4 linked regions of the Saccharomyces cerevisiae S288C genome follow. Changing the gene in region 4 together with the main gene of any one other region gives a genetic interaction. Each region holds a gene or a part of one and is shown on either strand. Other genes may lie near its edges. The genes, in order: CTK1, BLM10, PRE9 and RPN4.

Region 1 (3,628 bases), on a different chromosome or scaffold from region 4:
GAGTGAAAAATTGAATCGAAAAGTCTCCCATTTTATAGCCATAGCACCCGCTATGACTCCAAAGGGGTTGCACAACAGAATTGTCGATACCTTGGCCAAATCATCGCCCGGCTTTATGTATCTTTTCTTTGGTAGGAAAATTGTGTTACCTTCAGCTGTCATTTGGCAAAGAACTTTACATCCAACACTTTTCAATTTGTGTATCGATATCGCAAACAAGATACTGTTCAATTGGAAGTCGTTTAACATTCTACCGAGACAAAAGATTGCTTCTTACGCAAAACTTTATTCAACGACCAGTGTAAAATCCATTGTTCACTGGTTCCAAATATTAAGATCTCAGAAATTTCAAATGTTTGAAGAGTCTGATAACATGCTAAATTCCTTAACTAGGCCTTACCAAATTGCTAATTTTCCTACTAGAACAAATATCAAGATTCCCATTCTTTTAATTTATGGTGGCATAGATTCTTTAGTTGATATTGATGTGATGAAAAAAAATCTACCCTTCAACTCCGTCTTTGATGTTAAAGTTGACAATTATGAACACCTGGATTTGATTTGGGGCAAAGATGCCGATACCTTGGTCATTGCTAAAGTCTTGAGGTTTATTGAATTTTTTAACCCTGGTAATGTTTCAGTGAAGACTAACCAGTTACTACCATCAGCAAGTCTGGTTGAGGAATTACCAAGCACGACATGGAAGACAACTCATCCAACGCATGGTCTCAGTTATAGAACTCACTCGGCAGACCGTTCTCCGTTGTCTGTACAAGCTGATGAAGCGGATGAGGTCCACAATGCTGACAATTCAAGGTTCTTAAGACGAGTGTTTTCTACTAGTGCCATAGACGAGGACAACGAAAATGAGCACCAGGATGATACAGAAGATCAAATCCATAAGGAGCAGCAAAGACGGTTAAGTGCCTATCTGGAATCATCCAAAGATTTACGACAACTAGATGCCAACTCTTCGACAACTGCGCTGGATGCTCTAAATAAAGAATGAAAAGAATGCGAGAGAAACCCTATTAAACTATTTTTTGTCTAGGATAATAATATTAGCGCTAATCTAAAAATCGATGAACTAAAGAAAGAATATACGTACGTTTTATACACAATAAATGGATTTCATAAGAAGTCCTTAATATCCTCATGCTTGTGGATACTGGAAATTAGTAAAGTAATTAACTTCCTTTTAGCATTATTCTTATTTGGCTTAAAAAGGTCACGTGAAGCTCTATTTTTTTCGTTTTTTTTTTTCACTGATGGAAGAGAAAAACCTCTACATAATAAGGTAACTTTACATATTGATTGCCAATGAGATGTTAAAAAATGGACGGTTCAGACAGTAAAATACATTTAGAAAAAAAGAGAAGGTCTTATCAGTGTATTTATTCACTGTGCATATTAGCTTTTTTTGGACTTTTTTTGTTCCATTAGTACTTTTAAAAAACCTATTTGTAAATAAAACTAATTCTAGCACTATTCTTTGCACTAGAATAACACAGGGACCATACAGCATAAATTATTTGGTAACAATGTCCTACAATAATGGCAATACTTATTCAAAGAGTTATAGCAGAAATAATAAGAGACCCTTGTTCGGAAAGAGGTCGCCAAATCCTCAGTCCCTAGCGAGACCACCGCCACCAAAGAGAATACGGACTGATAGTGGTTACCAGTCGAATATGGACAATATATCTTCTCATAGGGTAAATTCAAATGACCAACCAGGCCACACGAAAAGTCGTGGTAACAATAATTTATCTCGCTATAACGATACATCCTTTCAAACAAGTTCCAGATATCAAGGTTCAAGATACAACAATAATAATACGTCGTATGAAAATAGGCCTAAAAGCATAAAAAGGGATGAAACAAAGGCTGAATTCCTGTCTCATTTGCCAAAGGGGCCCAAATCTGTTGAGAAATCAAGATATAATAATTCATCCAATACTAGTAATGATATAAAAAATGGCTATCATGCTTCAAAATACTATAACCACAAAGGCCAGGAAGGGCGGTCTGTCATAGCTAAGAAAGTTCCAGTTTCGGTTCTAACGCAGCAAAGGAGCACGTCAGTTTACCTAAGGATAATGCAAGTCGGAGAAGGAACATATGGTAAAGTTTACAAGGCAAAAAACACGAATACAGAGAAGTTAGTAGCGCTGAAAAAATTGAGATTACAAGGAGAGAGGGAAGGCTTTCCCATAACCTCTATACGAGAGATTAAACTACTACAAAGTTTTGATCATCCAAATGTCTCTACTATAAAAGAAATAATGGTCGAATCTCAAAAAACTGTATATATGATATTTGAATATGCTGACAACGACTTAAGTGGATTACTATTAAATAAGGAAGTCCAAATTTCTCACTCACAATGCAAACATCTCTTCAAACAATTGCTATTAGGAATGGAATATTTACATGATAATAAGATTTTACACCGTGATGTTAAAGGCTCAAACATCTTAATCGATAACCAGGGGAATCTAAAAATAACAGATTTTGGACTAGCGAGGAAAATGAATTCGCGAGCTGATTACACTAACCGTGTCATTACGTTGTGGTACAGACCACCAGAACTATTGTTGGGAACTACAAATTATGGAACAGAAGTTGACATGTGGGGTTGTGGCTGCCTCCTGGTGGAATTATTCAATAAAACTGCAATTTTCCAGGGCTCTAATGAATTAGAGCAAATAGAATCAATTTTCAAGATTATGGGAACTCCTACAATAAATAGCTGGCCAACGCTTTACGATATGCCGTGGTTTTTTATGATTATGCCACAGCAAACTACCAAGTATGTCAACAATTTTTCTGAGAAATTTAAAAGCGTTTTACCATCTTCAAAATGTCTGCAATTGGCGATTAATTTGTTATGTTATGATCAGACGAAAAGGTTTAGTGCAACCGAAGCTTTACAAAGCGACTATTTCAAGGAAGAACCAAAGCCTGAACCTTTAGTTCTTGATGGATTGGTAAGTTGCCACGAATATGAAGTCAAATTGGCAAGAAAACAAAAGCGTCCTAACATACTATCCACCAACACAAACAATAAGGGTAATGGTAATAGTAATAATAATAATAATAATAATAATGACGATGATGATAAATAAGGATATATAGCCAATTGAAATAAGTAGACACAAAAAATAGATTAATAACTTATTTATTACGCGATACCCGTAAATATGATACGAACATCTAATTTCATGTGAAGCGGCCTAGTGAATAGAAGGTTTGCCTATTTTCACTCGTTCACTATACGTAACTTGGTTGTCTTTTTATGCAAGCTGTTTGTCCATCGTACCAACACCATCTCATTTCACATCTTATAAATTAGCCTGGCCACTAACTGTCTTACCTCTTATGCCTTATTGCGTTTTTCCAAGCATCTGCTCCATATAATAAATGTAACTACCTATCAACCAACTTCCATGTACCTTACCCAATTGGCCTACCAAGTTTTCGTTACATTGTTTCGACATGATATCTAGTTGTTTTGTCGTTTCCTGTAAATTCGTTTGAAGCTCTCTAAGTTCGTGTGCAAGCTGATTATACTGCCTTTGTTTGTTAGCGTTCATTCTCTTGCCTGAAATTCTTTGTGTCCTCTTCG
Region 2 (8,925 bases), on a different chromosome or scaffold from region 4:
ATTATCATTGCCTGACTCACAAGACTATATTTTATCAATTAATGCTATTGACTACGAGCCGGAATATGAAAAAGCGATGCAATATGTGTGTGGCGATTCCATCATATGTAATACGTTGAATATTGCTAAAGATCTGAAATGGAAAAAGGGCATAAGAGGCAAATTGGTTACAATTGAAGGTGCTTTGATCCACAAGGCCGGTTTGATGACAGGTGGTATATCAGGAGATGCCAATAATAGGTGGGATAAAGAAGAATATCAAAGCTTAATGTCTTTAAAAGACAAATTACTAATCCAAATCGATGAACTTTCCAACGGTCAACGCTCTAATTCAATCAGAGCAAGAGAAGTTGAAAATAGTGTTTCACTATTGAACTCGGACATAGCAAATTTGAGAACTCAAGTAACACAACAAAAACGCTCCTTGGATGAAAATCGTTTAGAGATTAAGTACCATAATGACTTGATAGAGAAAGAAATTCAACCGAAGATAACTGAACTAAAGAAGAAGCTAGATGATTTAGAAAATACTAAAGATAATTTAGTGAAAGAGAAGGAGGCTTTACAAAATAATATTTTCAAAGAATTCACTAGTAAAATTGGCTTTACAATCAAAGAATATGAAAATCATTCCGGTGAATTGATGAGACAACAATCTAAAGAATTACAGCAGTTACAAAAACAAATTTTGACCGTTGAAAATAAGTTGCAGTTTGAGACAGACAGACTAAGTACTACTCAAAGAAGATATGAAAAGGCGCAAAAGGATTTAGAGAATGCTCAAGTTGAAATGAAGTCTTTGGAAGAACAGGAATATGCAATAGAAATGAAAATCGGATCAATAGAGTCTAAATTGGAAGAACACAAAAATCACTTAGATGAGTTACAGAAGAAATTTGTAACGAAGCAAAGTGAATTAAATTCCAGCGAAGATATTCTAGAGGACATGAACAGCAACTTACAAGTCTTAAAAAGGGAAAGAGACGGTATAAAGGAAGATATTGAAAAGTTTGATTTAGAGAGAGTAACAGCGTTAAAGAATTGTAAAATTTCTAATATAAATATACCTATATCATCTGAAACAACGATAGATGATTTACCAATATCTTCCACTGATAATGAAGCAATTACAATTTCCAACAGTATCGATATAAACTATAAAGGACTACCTAAAAAATACAAAGAAAACAATACCGATTCGGCAAGGAAGGAGCTGGAGCAGAAGATTCATGAAGTGGAGGAAATATTGAACGAGTTGCAGCCCAATGCAAGAGCTTTGGAGAGATACGACGAGGCGGAAGGAAGGTTTGAAGTGATTAATAACGAAACAGAACAACTAAAGGCCGAAGAAAAGAAAATATTAAACCAGTTCCTAAAAATTAAGAAAAAAAGAAAGGAACTGTTCGAAAAGACATTTGATTATGTGAGCGACCATTTAGACGCAATCTACAGGGAACTTACTAAAAATCCCAACTCCAATGTGGAATTGGCCGGTGGTAACGCTTCTTTAACCATAGAAGACGAAGATGAACCGTTCAATGCGGGAATCAAATATCATGCCACTCCGCCTCTTAAAAGATTCAAAGACATGGAATATCTTTCTGGTGGTGAAAAAACCGTAGCTGCATTAGCTCTATTATTTGCTATTAATTCCTACCAGCCTAGTCCCTTCTTCGTGCTGGACGAAGTGGACGCAGCCCTAGACATTACTAACGTCCAGAGAATTGCTGCCTATATAAGAAGGCACCGTAATCCAGATCTCCAATTCATTGTCATTTCATTGAAGAACACCATGTTTGAAAAATCTGACGCTCTCGTTGGGGTTTACAGACAGCAACAAGAAAACTCGTCGAAGATCATAACTTTGGACTTGAGCAATTACGCAGAATAATCTATGAAACCAACCTCTGCTATAACCCGTCAAATAACTAATAATATCTATATAGGTCAACTAGCTAGTGCAATATCATAGTAACAATAATATTAATAACGTCACTTTTTTTCCAGGGTAACCCAATTGTGGTGGGTGGCGGCCGAGGTATCCCTTAGAAAAGAATTTTTTAAGTTCTTTCTCATCTCTTACCAGTGGAGAAGTACACGATATTTGCAAAGTCTGTCATCAGGGCTTGATAATAAAGCTGCATTAGATCTTAGCAAAAACTACGAGAAGAACATTGAATATTGTAGCTGTATTTGCATACATAAACTTTATCATTGTTCGTTAGCTAGCTTTGCACATTAATTTTTCGATTTGTTACCGCCAATGACCGCTAACAATGACGATGATATCAAATCACCCATTCCCATTACTAACAAGACCTTATCCCAATTGAAGCGCTTTGAGAGAAGTCCAGGAAGGCCCAGTTCTTCTCAGGGCGAGATAAAACGTAAAAAGTCTAGGCTATATGCCGCAGACGGAAGACCACATTCTCCGCTAAGAGCAAGGTCTGCTACCCCAACGCTACAGGACCAAAAACTGTTCAATGGCATGGATTCCACTTCCCTTTTGAATGAAAGGCTACAGCATTATACGCTGGATTATGTTAGTGACAGGGCCCAGCATATGAAGAATATATATGACCCATCATCTCGCTGGTTCAGCAGATCCGTGAGGCCTGAATTTCCTATTGAAGAGTTCTTACCATATAAGACTGAAAGTCATGAAGATCAAGCGAAATACTTGTGCCATGTCTTAGTTAATCTTTATATTGCGATCAGCTCATTAGATATACAAGGTTTGATTTCTATTTCCAGTAAAGATCTGGCTGATTTAAAGAAAGAAGTGGATGATTTAGCTCTTAAAACCGATCTTTTCAGGTTATCTAACAACACAGCGGAGAATGACTTACTTGGTAACGATATTGCTGATTATGACGATGCGGAAGGCCTGGAGGACGAATTGGATGAATACTTCGACTTAGCAGGCCCCGACTTTAATGCTACCGGAAAAATCACAGCTAAATCAGCTACTATTGTGAATGTAAACCATTGGACTAATGAGCTCAAAAATTGTCTACATTTTGATTTTCCAGTAGCTTTAAGAAAGTCGCTAGCGACAGTTTATTATTATTTGTCTCTTGTTCAGGGCCAAAAGGTGTATAGACAAATGCATGTCGATATGTTCGAAAGATTAGTAAGCCTTGACGATGATAGGACAAATTTCACTGAACTGTTGCAAAAACAAGGTCTTTTGCTAGATCATCAAATCATGCTCAATTTCCTGTGCGAATTTCTACCTTATCCAGATCCCGACTATGCTCGTTATGAATTATCATCAAAGGAAGATTTACAGTTATTTAGATTACTTTTGAAGCATGCACATAATGCAAAACCATTTTTCGATAAGTCAAAGGAAAGTTTGTTAGTTGATACGATGAATTTTCTGTTGTCTAGTCTTGCACCATCTACTATGATGGCTGTCATGCCTATCGTTACATCCGTTGTGCCCTATCATTATCATATCCATTCTAAGATCATCGATTATTTCCCGTTTTGCTATAGCATCTGGAGCTCAGTCAGCGCAAACGTGGCCATCGACACTCACATGTATGATTTTGTTGGGTCAATTTCCAAAGACGTTCATAATAAGATTTTGAGTAGCGAGCATGAAAAGGATGTAGTTGGAGTGGAGTTTGGAGAATTCGGGATTTTTACTGATGATCAAATGACTTTTATGTTCAATAGGTTACAAGGCCATCTTAGAACAGACGGTCAAATACATTCGTATTCCCGCACAGTGAAGCCTTTTGTTTATGCTATAAACGGATCAAAAAAAGATAGGTTTTTTGAAAAACTTGTAAGTTTAGCCAAAGCAATCGAAACATTTATCCATCCCTCTAATAATGGGTTTTGGACCAAGCCAAATGCTAAATTCGTTCATGCATTTATAAAGTCTTACCACGGAAGGGTCAAATATGAAGAAGATATTTGTGCTAGGGGCGTCACAAATGGGATATGTTTAACTTCTTTTTGTCACGAAGAGATAGTTGAAATATTCTTAAATATTATCAGTCTGGGTTCACAGAATAAAAATCCTGATATTGCGAACTATTACATCTCTTGTTTCGCATATCTGTTAGAGCTGGATCCTTCAAATGCATATTTAATTTATGACAAAATACTGATAGATTTGTACGATACGCTGGCTGACCAATTTATCAATTCGAGACACAGAATCATTTCCTCTTTGAAACAATTTACAAGAGTAATTCGGTTTATTGTGATGGATAAGCTATATCGCGTGCACATAACAAACGTCCTTTCGATGCTGGTCTCCAAACTTGATATGAACGATACTAATTTGACAAGCAACCTCATCAACGGTATTGTATCTATAGCCGCTTTCATTCCTATCCAAGACCTCACTGGGGAGGACGATTATATATCGTTTGAATCGGATACTCTTCCTTTAGTTCAACAACATTTTTATCATATTAAGTGTGGCGAAAGTTCAAAGACCTTCCGAGTTGATGATGAACTGTTAAATAACGCTTTCAAAGCTTCCACTACAGTTTTTCAAAGTATGCTAAAAGTATACGTAGAAAAAATTTTCCAATTGGTTGATGTAGACTTAGAGGACTCTTTGGTTACTAAAATAAACCAAACAACTATGATTTTACAAGAGTCTATGGACGATAAAATATTTAATTATTTTGCTTCTTTATTACAGAGAAACTTCTGGAGTAATGACTCCTTCAAGGAAAAGGATCCAAACTATGAATTAGTTACTATCCCACTAGCGGCTTTAGTAAGAAGGAATAATGGTTTGAGTAAAGAGTTGGTCAGAACTCTTTTATTCCATATCAAAGAACAAATCAAAAGAGGCGCCGGGTCTGTAAGAAGTACTTCAGAGATTCAACAGAGGGATGTTAAGTTAGTTTTATACTTAACTGCACTAAATGATGTCTTAAGGCAATGTCATGAATCTCTATTGGAGTATAGCGATGAGTTGATAACATTCATGAAATATTTATACGACAACGTCACTAACCCGCCATTGGATGTTATCACATCTATTGTTATTCACAGTGCTTTAGCAACTCTATGTACAACCGAAATAACTGATTGTCGTCTATTCCCAGAGGACTCTAAGATTCCGGAAAAAGACAGATGGGGAGGACTACAGTTCGATCCTCGAAGATTTGATAAACAGCATTTGAGTTTTCAGTGGCACGTACCTTCTAGTGACGAGATAACTTTATCCATAAGCATTCTAGAAAGCCTTTCCGAATACTGTATTAACAACGTAGAAGAACTGATGAAAGCTCCAAGACATGATTCCGAATATGGCGATATGATACAAAAATATGTTTTAGTTATGACACATACGCTTTCCGGGTCAAGTTTACTTTTTGATCCAGATTTTAACAAATATAGGACGCAATCAAACTTATCATACAGAGAGAAACTGATTTTATTAAAGAATATACGCGAAAATAATTGTGACCCTCAAGAACTGGATATTGATATTGAACAAATTCGTTCTGGCAAGGATGATGAAGACTATATTGAGAGTAAGGACATTGAAGCAGGGCTGAATGCAGGAGTTTCCGATGTTGTGCAGTTAAGAGATGAGTTTCCGGATGAATTAATTGTTGATGAAGAAGTAGTGTCTGAGATGCCATCTGGTGTAAATACCCCTATCGCGGGGACGCATGGCACGGACAATTCAGCTATGAGTTCGGATCTAGCTTTCAGGGATTTAGATATTTACACCTGTAATTATTACTTCGGAAATACCACTGAGGAGAAGTTACAAAACCCACAATATTTACAAGTCCACAGAGTTAGAGCGCGCATTGGACATTTCTTTCACAAACTCTATGTTTTTTTATCTACAAACTTCGAAAACAACACCAACATGTTCCAAATTCTATTGCACGGATTGAAAGTTTGGTTCACAGATCTGGGACAAGAAACGGTCTTCAATGAAGACCCAAATGCCTTCATTGACGTTGATTTCCTAGAAAACGTTCAATCTCTCTCACACGTAAATGAGCCCTTCACGAGAACCAATTTTGCAATCAGAGCAAACAGTTTGCACCAGAGTAGAGTTCTATTACATTCAACAAATAGAAAAGCTTCCAAGCTGGAAAACCTATTGTTAGTTGACATCATACAGTTAGCGACATCCCTTTATCCTGATATTTATAAACCAGCACAGGGAACTTTGGTACACTGTATGAAACAATTAGTTGGGTCATATGGCGTAGTCATCAATAAAATTATTCCATCATTAGAGAAAGCGATTAAGGATCATGATTATATGAAAATCCAAGTTATTTTAAATGTTTTGTTAATTAAGAAAATCCATAGGAAGCTTATGACGGATTATAAAGACATCGGCAGATTGATATTTCTGCTTATTGAATGTTGTCGTGTGAATGAATTAGAGATTGGTATGTATGCAGATAAAATCTTAACTGACATAGTGATTGGGATCAAGATTCCTTCTAGTGTATGTGTCATTTCCGATCAAGCTTTCTTACCTTTAGCACCTCCTGATGGTACTATTAATTTGCAAGTTGAAGCGGTAAAGCTTGCCAAAAAGAAAAAGCGTGAGTACTACCTCTCTCTGTTAGTGGATTTGCAGGACAAACTTTTAGACAAATTAGATAATGAAAAAGATATGGGGTGGAAGATAAGAATGTTCATTTTACGTTTTGTTACACAAATCCAATCGAACCTCGAAAGCAAACCCGATAAAAGAGCAGTATTTTCAATAATCTCCCAAATCTCCACAAAACATCCCGAAATCATACATTTGGTTGTAAAGTCATTGTTGTCGACGTGCAACAAGATAATATCTCTCTCTGACTATGAATATGACATCACCAGGGCCTATAAGAATGAATTCAATCCATCATTTGTGGAAATACTGGACACTTCGACCACAAGCTTCCCTAAAACGTTTACTGAAGAAATGAATAACTTTGATAACCCCAAGTATTTTATCGATTTGAGGGCGTATGTAGGGTGGCTATGTTGGGGAAGGCTTATGTACGTCATGTCGCCGAAAGCTTTAAAGCTCAATTTACGTGAGAATGAACTGGAAGTCCTCAAGACAGCTGGTCATCTATTGACAAGAGAATTCCTGAGAGATGTTACAATGAATTTAGTCCAAGATAATGAAACTAGGGGTGTTTTTAGTAGTGGTAACGTGTCATTTTTCTCTTTAGTAATCCTTTTGATATCATCTGGTTTCTGCGAACTGAATATGTCGGATCTCTTTGAGCTATGTGAATCCTACTATAACAAAGACGATAAGGCTTCGATGATCATGTCTGTCGAGATAGTGGCTGGCTTAGTTTGCGGGAGTAAGTTTATGTCAGTCTCTGACTTGGACAAACGTGACACTTTTATCGAAAACTTCCTAGCCAAATGTTTAGATTATGAGTTGAACCATGACGCATTTGAAATTTGGAGCACCTTGGCATGGTGGTTGCCTGCAGTCGTTGATTTAAGAAGGTCTAAAACTTTTTTTTGCCATTTTATCAACGCCGATGGCATGTTTGACCGTGAATCTGATGCAGCCACACATCAAACCTCCAAAATTTACATGCTAAGAAGTATCTTGATGAGCATGGAATTTAGAGCCCCAGATGTTGGTAAGCTATTTGATGAGTTGGTATTTGATCACCCATACGATCAGGTTCGCCAGGCTGTCGCTAAACTATTGACGACCTTAGTTCAAAATCAAAGTAATCCGTCAATTTCAGATCCAACCACATTATTAGAAGCAGAACGGAATGATCCAGATGGATTAGGGTTACCATTAAAAAGCGTCCCAGAAAAGGTGGATGCCTATATTAAGAAGCAGTTTGAGATCATTAAAAATCTGGAAGATTCCGTTGTCGGCCTGAATCCTCAACAATTTATTAAGACAGACTATTTTTACAGGACATCCACAATATTTTATTGGATCAAAGAAATGGCGAGAGGGCCTAATAAAGTTTTGTTAGTTCCATATTTAGTCGATTATGTTTTACCATTTCTGATCGGATTAGTGAAACATAAAGATGTTTGTGCTCTTGCCAGTTTAGATCCTGTTCGATTGTATGCCGGCTTGGGCTATATGCCGATCAGAAAGAACCATGTTGCCGCCATTGTTGACTATGTTTGTTCGTCAAATGTAGCACTATCTTCAAACCAAACGAAACTACAGCTAGCTTTCATCCAACACTTTTTATCAGCGGAACTGCTTCAACTTACTGAGGAAGAAAAGAACAAAATTTTGGAATTTGTTGTCAGCAATTTGTATAACGAACAGTTTGTAGAGGTGAGAGTTCGTGCGGCATCCATTTTGTCTGATATCGTCCATAACTGGAAAGAGGAACAGCCGTTGTTGAGTTTAATCGAGAGATTTGCAAAGGGTCTCGACGTCAACAAATACACGTCGAAAGAAAGACAAAAGTTATCCAAAACGGATATCAAGATTCATGGTAACGTTTTGGGTTTGGGAGCTATTATATCAGCGTTCCCCTATGTTTTTCCCCTACCGCCATGGATACCCAAGCAACTAAGCAACTTATCCTCGTGGGCCAGGACTAGTGGTATGACTGGACAAGCTGCCAAAAATACTATTAGTGAGTTCAAGAAGGTGAGGGCCGACACTTGGAAGTTCGATAGAGCATCTTTCAATACGGAGGAACTGGAAGACCTGGAGGGTGTCCTATGGAGAAGTTACTATGCCTGATTCATATTAGTATAGGATATTAAGCACATATCTAGACATATATGTACATCTAAACAAATAGCTGGAGCTATCTGCTGATTAGTTTTACTCTAAAAGTAAGTTGTTAGTGTAACTATGATCACGGCTGCGTGCCGGGTAATAAATCAATTTTGAGGAAAACTGGAAGTTCACCACTGAGAATGATCAACGGCAGGGAAACGTTATACCAAACAAAGCATTCTACCTCTAGG
Region 3 (4,284 bases), on a different chromosome or scaffold from region 4:
GTTAGAAAAATTTTAAAAGATTACAATAGAATGATAGAATGCCGAAATTTTTATTTCTGGTATTCCTTTAATGCTGAGAACAGAGTAAATCTTACTTTTAGTGATAACATTAGCCTGTTAATGGAAAATGATGAAGGCAATGCTGGAAGTGGCCTTGACGATAGCCGTTTTGATCATCAAAAACAACCGAGAGAGGCGATAATGGGCCGAACAATAAATGACCAGGAACAAATATATTCATTCGAACTGAACCAAGATGGAACGCTTGAAATACCCAACGTTATGGAGCATTCTTTACTAAGACACGAGCTTCTTTTTAAAATATTAAATCTCACTACGGTATTGACGCCATTATTGGAACTACAATTTTCTACGCTATGTGGCTTAGTAGATCCATTAATGCAGCCTACTCCCAATGATAAGCATATTATATCGATAGACTTTCTTTTTCAGCTTTTTTTGGGATTAATGTCTCAGTCGATCAAGACTTCTCAAGAACACAACGACCATTATGACTGGAAATTTTATATGTGTTTTAACATGCAAAAAATTATTGATGCTACCATGTTGAGGCTCAACTGCTTTGATTTTGATATATTAAACTCGGTAAACAATACAGATAATGCAGTTCATTGGAAGACGCAACTTCACAGATGGCTACCGCATGGCCTGAATACACAAGACTTGGAATTACTCTATATGATTGATATACTGGCGGTATATACCATCTACAAGTTGTATGAAAAAATACCTATACAACTAAACCCATTTTTATTTTCATTAATATCCTTATGGAAAAACCTCTCCTGTGTTATACTTTTAGCCTTAGAAATTGATAGAATTGAAGAGGAGAATGGCACTTACGAAACGCCGCTTATGGTTCGCGCCACAATTCGTGGAGCCGCAGCATTGAGGTCTGTAATAGCTACCGTTCTCAATGGATTAGTGAAAAATAATGATCATGATTTCAAGCACGAGTCTTTAAACACATTCATGTCGCCCTATGGAAGAAAATTGTGTCATGGTGCTTTATATGCCGATTTAAGGTCACATACTGCATCTCTACTTGCGCTTGGAGCAAGCATCGAAGATGTAACAGATTTATTTGCCGATTTACAGTCAGGTGATAGATTTGATGAGGATATTAGATATATGTTTGATTATGAATGTGAAGATTATGATGAATCTTTCTCTGAAAGCGATCATGGAGGATTGGATGAAAGCGTTGTTAACCCAACAGAAAAAATAGCATCTGGTAGTAATAATGTTTTCTTTCGGAGACGGTGCAATTGCATCTTCAATGATGATAAGTTGGTGGCAGAGGATGGTGCAAATGAAGCCTTTGGGTCAACAAATAGCGAAAACGTTGAAGGCGCAATGCATAATAATAGGAATGCGGTACATAACGCGACTACAGCCACTTCTGATCACGTCGTTACGTCACCTAACCCACTTTCCGTTAGATCAAGAAGTACTTTTGAATTTGACTATAGTGGGGAAGATTGGAGGGACGTTCCCAGAGATTTCAATATGTACTATTCGCCATCTTATTCATTCATCCATGAGCCTAAGTTAGATGTCATATTTAGTTTGACTCTACGTGGCGCAACAGAAAAGTTGAATAAGGAGGAATCCATATTGTTAGTGCGTTCAGTTGCATCGTGTGTAAGGAACGAGCAGGACCAAATGATTTTAGCAGACCTGGAGTCTAATTTTTCCGCAAGTATAAACGGCGATGTAGAAGGTGAAGGAAATACCAAAATGTCCAAGATAGATAATGAAGATCTCAGAAGAACCACGCCGGATGATATTTATGAAATATGGTCTGAAGAATCAGCATTTGAAAGGATGCTAAACGTGAATCACGACGTTGCGTGGAGATTAATGGATGAAATGTTAATGTGCACCGGTTATAGGAGAATATTGATATGGTTCCTTACGCATTTGGAGTTAAAACATTCGTTGATATATTACGTTTTTGAACTAATAATGGGGTTACGTGGAAAACCGTTTTCCGGAGAAGCCAGTGATCAAGATAAAAAGGATGATATGATATATGAGATCTTGAAGAAAAAGCAGAAGAATGAAGATGCTTCAGGACTTCCCTTTTCAAGGCAAGGACCTATCGTATTATCTGATATTGAGACTAAAATGTTACTGCAGGAGTTTTTTATGAATGCTGCTATTTTTTTGTCATCAAAAAATAACGAAGAAGAGAATGAAGACGGCGAGAAAATCTCCTTGTACTCCCTTGGTTTGGTTAGGTTGATCTGTTACATGGTGCAGACACTCATCGCGAACGACAAGTTTTTTTTTACCAAATCAGAATGCACTTTTGAGCTTCAAACTTTACTGATGACATGGATTGGCATCCTTCCTGAAGCCAAAGATTTATTCTTTAAGATCAAGACAAGGCTCGCCATGGAAGAAGAGGATAGTGCCGATACTATGCAGCATGAGGGCAGGAAGAACTCTGACATAGAGAAGAAGCTAAACGCTAAGCCAGCTTCTGAACTGAATCTGAAATTGTTAAACCTGTTTCCCTCAAAGCCTGCAAACAAAGACGATAGTTCCCCTATTAACACGTTGCGTAGTTTTATCGCTGATTACTCCTTCGACACCCAGGTGAACCCTCCAGGAAGAAGGGTGGTGTTCTACGATGGTAAGATTTTGCCATTGCCCAAAGCCGATAAGCCTATCCCACTTCATGAATATATAACACTCGCAGAGCTCGATGTTGGAGACAGTGAGTGAGCAGTGAATTGCTCATGTTTTCTCTGCATCCTCATTTAATGACAATTAGCCATGTAATAACATCTTGAGGCAGTTAAATATTCGTTACCCTGCAGGTGGCAAAAAATTTATAGAATAAAAGCATAAAAAGATGGATATCTATGTAATAAGGAAACATTGGCAGAGCGAAGAGAACAGACTGCTTTCTATAAAAAGTTTTCGATCAGTCTCTATTTTAATAATTGATTATTGGATATAGTTAGTAGTGTTAAACATGGGTTCCAGAAGATACGATTCCAGGACAACAATTTTCTCCCCTGAGGGACGTCTATATCAGGTTGAATACGCGCTAGAATCCATTTCACATGCAGGTACCGCAATTGGGATTATGGCATCTGATGGGATTGTTCTTGCAGCAGAACGCAAAGTCACAAGTACTTTACTAGAACAAGACACCTCTACCGAAAAACTTTATAAGTTAAACGATAAAATTGCGGTTGCCGTTGCTGGACTGACTGCAGATGCAGAAATTCTAATAAATACGGCTAGAATTCACGCTCAAAATTACCTTAAAACCTATAATGAAGATATACCAGTAGAAATTTTGGTGAGAAGGCTAAGTGATATAAAACAAGGTTACACGCAACATGGTGGTTTAAGACCATTTGGTGTGTCCTTTATCTACGCCGGTTATGACGATAGATACGGTTACCAATTGTATACATCTAATCCATCGGGAAACTATACAGGGTGGAAGGCTATTAGTGTTGGCGCTAACACATCAGCAGCACAAACCCTACTTCAAATGGACTACAAGGATGATATGAAAGTCGATGATGCCATTGAACTGGCTTTAAAAACGTTATCCAAAACTACCGACAGTAGCGCGCTGACTTATGACAGGTTGGAATTTGCTACTATCAGAAAGGGTGCTAATGACGGAGAAGTGTATCAGAAGATTTTCAAGCCTCAAGAGATAAAGGATATATTGGTAAAGACTGGTATTACCAAGAAGGATGAAGACGAAGAAGCTGATGAAGATATGAAATAAGGTTGGAAAGTATTGTTTGACTTCATGCTTATATAAATATGTACGCATAGAAACATATCTCTAAAATTAAAAGTGAAAGAAAAAAATCGCTAAGATTCCCCTTTCGGGGGAAGGCTGAAGAAACTTTTTTTTGCGCAAATTTCAAGATCGGAATCGCTCGAGAGGCAAATATAAAAAAGGGCCTGCTCGTTTGGCCTACTTGTTGTTGGATTCTAACTCCAATCTAATTTTGGCAGCACTTCAAAAATAAACAAAAGCGATGTCTGCGTCACTAGTGAATCGATCATTGAAAAATATAAGGAATGAATTAGAATTTTTGAAGGAATCAAACGTCATATCAGGCGACATTTTCGAATTAATCAATAGCAAGTTACCTGAGAAATGGGATGGAAACCAAAGATCGCCCCAAAATGCAGATACAGAAGAGTACGTTGAAGCTTTATATGATTTTGAAGCTCAACAAGATGGAGATTTGTCATTGAAAACAGGTGATAAAATAC
Region 4 (4,587 bases):
GGTAATCCACAAGTTGATAACCACGGTGAAGTGAACGTTGTCAATCACACAACCGGTGATCATTGCAAGTTGTATTTCAAAGCAAGGGGATGGAGGTCATCAGGAGCATATGAAATCACAGGCGAAGTCTACAACAAGAAAAAACAGAAGGTGTGGATCCTAGGAGGACACTGGAATGAAGCTATTTTTGCCAAGAAAGTAGTAAAAGATGGCGATCTCTCGTTGGAGAAAACTAGAACCGCTGCATCAGCAGGGAATGGGCCTACGGATGACGGAACGAAGTTTTTAATATGGAAGGCAAACGACCGTCCTGAGGAGCCATTCAATTTAACACCTTTTGCTATCACGCTGAATGCTCCACAACCACATCTATTGCCATGGTTACCCCCCACAGATACACGTTTGAGACCAGATCAAAGAGCAATGGAAGATGGGCGTTATGACGAAGCTGGTGATGAGAAATTCAGAGTTGAAGAAAAGCAAAGAGCAGCACGCAGAAAAAGGGAGGAAAATAACCTTGAATATCACCCACAATGGTTCGTCAGGGATACTCATCCCATCACAAAAGCTAAATATTGGAGATATACGGGCAAATATTGGGTTAAAAGAAGAGATCATGATTTGAAAGATTGTGGTGACATTTTTTAACACGCCTTTTTTATGCGAGCTTTTTTCCTGGTACTTGTATGTATTTTGAATGTATTTTATTGTACTGAATTGTATTTTATTCTACCGCACATTTGTTTCTTTTGGCATATATAGTATGTTTACTTAACAATAGGGATTTCCTTCAGTTTTCCTAGATGTATCAATTTAGTTATCTTTTCGAACACTTTGGTTATGTCACCATGGTCAGATGACCATATTATTTTGAAATCCATATAACCAATTACAAAGCAAGCAACAAGCGAGTAAATAAAATCGTTAGGCGGTTACCATAACCCTTCGTTACGACGCTAAAGTGCTATATAATGCCTCCATTACGGCTGCGATAGAACTGTGCCTAAATTAGCGGCAGAGGTTGAAAACCAATCATCACTAACGTATTCAATATTAATTGTTGAGAAAACCAACTACGGATTGTTATAGAGATCAAACTATATGCACTGAGAGGACGTTACTTCTTTTTTTACTACCTTTCTGTTCCTGTAATAACAAGTTCCGTGGAACTCAAAGAAAGGTGCCTCAGCCCGTACGAACCTTTCCACGGATAATCACGTGATCGCTATTACTAATAGCCGTTTACAGTGATGGTTCTAGAAAGTTCCGTTTCGGCGAAACTTGTTGAGGAGAGCAATTCTATATAAGGAAAGAATAGTTCGAAGCCCAATTTGGGGAAAGCCCGGGATGAGCAGCCTAACCCACACGGATAATTTTTTATCGTTCAAGGAGGAGGATACGTTTTATCTCTAATATAAATTAAAGATAAACCCGAAACTCTTTTTTCTTCTTGGCGTGGAATATTTAAGGAGTAGATCAGTTCCATTTTGTTCATCCTTTTCTCCTCAAGGAAGAACTCCGCTTTTTAGTTGAACTAATAGTAGATAGTACTAATAGCTAATTTGTATCTTTTCAAAAGTTTTCTAGAATTTTCAAGCAATCATGGCTTCTACGGAACTTAGCCTAAAAAGAACCTTAACGGATATTTTAGAAGACGAGTTGTACCATACTAATCCAGGTCACAGTCAGTTTACGAGTCATTATCAAAACTATCATCCAAATGCTAGTATTACTCCATATAAGTTGGTGAATAAGAACAAGGAAAACAACACTTTTACGTGGAATCATTCATTACAACACCAGAATGAATCGAGTGCAGCTTCGATACCCCCACAACAAACCTACCATTTCCCGATATTCAACAAATACGCGGATCCTACTTTAACTACCACCACCTCTTTTACGACTAGTGAAGCAACGGCCAACGATAGACAGATTAATAATGTCCATCTCATACCAAACGAGATTAAGGGTGCTAGCGAAACCCCATTGCAGAAGACCGTCAATCTAAAGAATATAATGAAAGTATCAGACCCGTATGTACCGACACGGAATACGTTCAATTATGATGTTAAAATTTCCAACGATTTTTTCGATAACGGTGACAATCTATATGGTAATGATGAAGAAGTGCTTTTCTATGAGGATAATTATAATCCGAAAATGCAGTGGTCACTTCAAGATAATAGCGCCGCAATAAACAATGAGGATGCGAGAGCTATTTTTAACAATGAATTTGACTCTGATGACGACGATATCAGTGATGATGAAGAGGATGAAATAGAAGAAAATTGTTTGCAACAAGAGCAACACCAAGAGGAGCCTTTACTGTCATTGGATGTTACACCAATCTCAATGTTTGGCTCAGATCAAAAAACGGGTCGTGCCAAGAGTTCTAGTCATTTATTTAATGAGTACAGTTACGTTGACTCTAACATGGACAGCATTTCCAGTGTTGTATCTGAAGATCTGTTAGATGAACGGGGACATGAGAAGATAGAGGATGAGGATGAGGATAATGATCTTGATGAAGACGATATCTACGATATCTCTCTCTTGAAGAACAGAAGAAAGCAAAGTTTTGTCCTCAATAAAAACACTATTGATTTTGAAAGATTTCCATCTCCCTCAACCTCGGCAAACGTACCGTCTACTGCTACTACCGGTAAAAGGAAACCAGCAAAATCATCCAGTAACCGTAGTTGCGTTAGTAACAGTAATGAAAACGGCACATTAGAAAGAATAAAGAAGCCTACATCAGCTGTAGTAAGCTCAAATGCTAGTAGGCGGAAGCTAATTAATTATACTAAGAAGCACTTATCTTCACATTCATCTACAAATTCGAATTCGAAACCTTCGACTGCATCACCATCGGCCCATACGTCATCTTCTGACGGTAATAACGAAATATTTACGTGTCAGATAATGAATCTCATTACAAATGAACCGTGTGGTGCCCAATTTTCAAGGTCCTATGATTTAACGAGACACCAAAATACCATTCACGCTAAAAGGAAGATTGTCTTCCGTTGCTCGGAGTGTATAAAAATTCTTGGATCTGAGGGCTATCAGAAGACGTTTTCGAGACTGGATGCTTTAACAAGGCATATAAAATCGAAGCATGAAGATTTGTCGTTAGAACAACGTCAAGAAGTTACAAAATTTGCAAAGGCTAATATTGGTTATGTCATGGGTTAATTAAGGTTACAAATTATATAGGAGATAAAAGAAGAAAACCTCACACAAAATGGAAATACATATACACATCTATATATATTTACAATATATATCATATATCTGCATTCAGGAATGTTCTTATAAATATCACATTTTTAAAGTACCTCATTGGACTTATAATAAGTTTTCTATTGGTTTTCATTATACTTCGGAAAATACACAATTATATTATATACTTACCCCCCTTAAGGATTTTTTATGAAACCCTCATTACGGACTTTCTCAGCATTGATCTTAGCAGATTCAGGATCTAGGTAGAATTTTCTGATAAACTTAAGACCATTATTCTTATCTAATTCAACGACTAAGGGGATACCATTTGGAATATCAACATTCTTGATGTCATCATCTGATATACCCTCCAGAATTTTCAGTAGCGATCTCACTGAACTTCCATGGCCCACAATCAGGCATGAAGATTCATCATATTGATTGGCTAATTTTAATATGACATTTTGTAGAAAAGGATTCAATCTATAAACCACTTCACGAAGAGATTCGGAATCCGGTAATACAATGTCATGATTGCTGCATTCCAATTCATATTTTATTTGTCTGTTTGGCTCCTTGAATTCGTACCCAGTAGAAGAGCCCTTCTCATTTTCTTGTTGAATCATCTCACGGTCAAGATCTACAGGTGGTGGCTTACCCTCGTAATCTCTCCTAATGAACATATATTTATCCTTACCATATTCTTTTAAAACATTCGGTTTCCTCTGGCCCTGCCAGGAACCGTAATGACGTTCATTTAGCCTCCAAGTTTGAAGAATCGGGATTTTCATATTATCCTTGTCATCACTGCCAAATTCGTCTCCAAGTTTGATTTTATTAAAGTCGTAAACAACCTGCAGTTGTGGCTTTAACTTAAATTCTTCACACATCGTTTCTATGGTCTGTTGGGTCCTAATTAAACGTGAGGTGTAACCAATCTGGGGTAATCTCAAATTATTAGCTTTACAATATTGTTCGATTAGCTCGGCAGAATGACGAGCTTGTTCTTTACCTTTTTCGGTTAGCTTAGCGTCAATCCAACCACAGAATATATTCTCGTGATTCAATTCACTTTGTCCATGCCTTAACAAGAACAATGTCATGACATTGGATGGTGTGCTTGCAGTCATTGTTTACTAAGTTAATATATCTATATTTTTTTTATGTATTCTTGGGTTTAAATTGAACAACCTCGTATTTGGATGTGTGTCTCGAAACACTTCTACGTATATATATAAGCTACTTTGGATTCAAAGATAATTTTGTCACGTTTGTTCTGGTGGGAAATTTCAGCCAAAGGGAAAAAAAAAGAAAACGGTGAGCTCCGTATTATCTTCGTCGTGGGGTGATAACAACATG

What was found.
Region 1: mutations in RPN4 (region 4) and CTK1 together harm fitness more than expected from each alone (negative genetic interaction), as found in Saccharomyces cerevisiae (5 studies listed by BioGRID, with this or other methods).
Region 2: mutations in RPN4 (region 4) and BLM10 together harm fitness more than expected from each alone (negative genetic interaction), as found in Saccharomyces cerevisiae (5 studies listed by BioGRID, with this or other methods).
Region 3: mutations in RPN4 (region 4) and PRE9 together harm fitness more than expected from each alone (negative genetic interaction), as found in Saccharomyces cerevisiae (7 studies listed by BioGRID, with this or other methods).

The regions. Positions count from the first base shown.
Region 1 is NC_001143.9:181,417-185,044, forward strand, and holds CTK1 (cyclin-dependent serine/threonine protein kinase CTK1), read left to right. Parts: upstream 1-1,541; coding exon 1,542-3,128; downstream 3,129-3,628. Other genes in the region: TGL1 (sterol esterase), read left to right, coding at 1-1,009; HSK3 (Hsk3p), read right to left, coding at 3,387-3,596. UniProt on the Saccharomyces cerevisiae protein: Catalytic subunit of the CTDK-I complex, which hyperphosphorylates the C-terminal heptapeptide repeat domain (CTD) of the largest RNA polymerase II subunit.
Region 2 is NC_001138.5:121,216-130,140, forward strand, and holds BLM10 (proteasome activator BLM10), read left to right. Parts: upstream 1-2,263; coding exon 2,264-8,695; downstream 8,696-8,925. Other genes in the region: cohesin subunit SMC1, read left to right, coding at 1-1,891. UniProt on the Saccharomyces cerevisiae protein: Associated component of the proteasome that specifically recognizes acetylated histones and promotes ATP- and ubiquitin-independent degradation of core histones during DNA damage response.
Region 3 is NC_001139.9:758,385-762,668, forward strand, and holds PRE9 (proteasome core particle subunit alpha 3), read left to right. Parts: upstream 1-3,007; coding exon 3,008-3,784; downstream 3,785-4,284. Other genes in the region: CCR4-NOT core subunit CAF130, read left to right, coding at 1-2,754; LSB1 (Lsb1p), read left to right, coding at 4,044-4,284. UniProt on the Saccharomyces cerevisiae protein: The proteasome degrades poly-ubiquitinated proteins in the cytoplasm and in the nucleus. It is essential for the regulated turnover of proteins and for the removal of misfolded proteins.
Region 4 is NC_001136.10:413,724-418,310, reverse strand, and holds RPN4 (stress-regulated transcription factor RPN4), read left to right. Parts: upstream 1-1,602; coding exon 1,603-3,198; downstream 3,199-4,587. Other genes in the region: oxysterol-binding protein related protein OSH2, read left to right, coding at 1-648; phosphoglycerate mutase family protein GPM2, read right to left, coding at 3,423-4,358. UniProt on the Saccharomyces cerevisiae protein: Acts as a transcriptional activator of a number of genes encoding proteasomal subunits. Binds to a PACE (proteasome-associated control element) DNA sequence 5'-GGTGGCAAA-3'.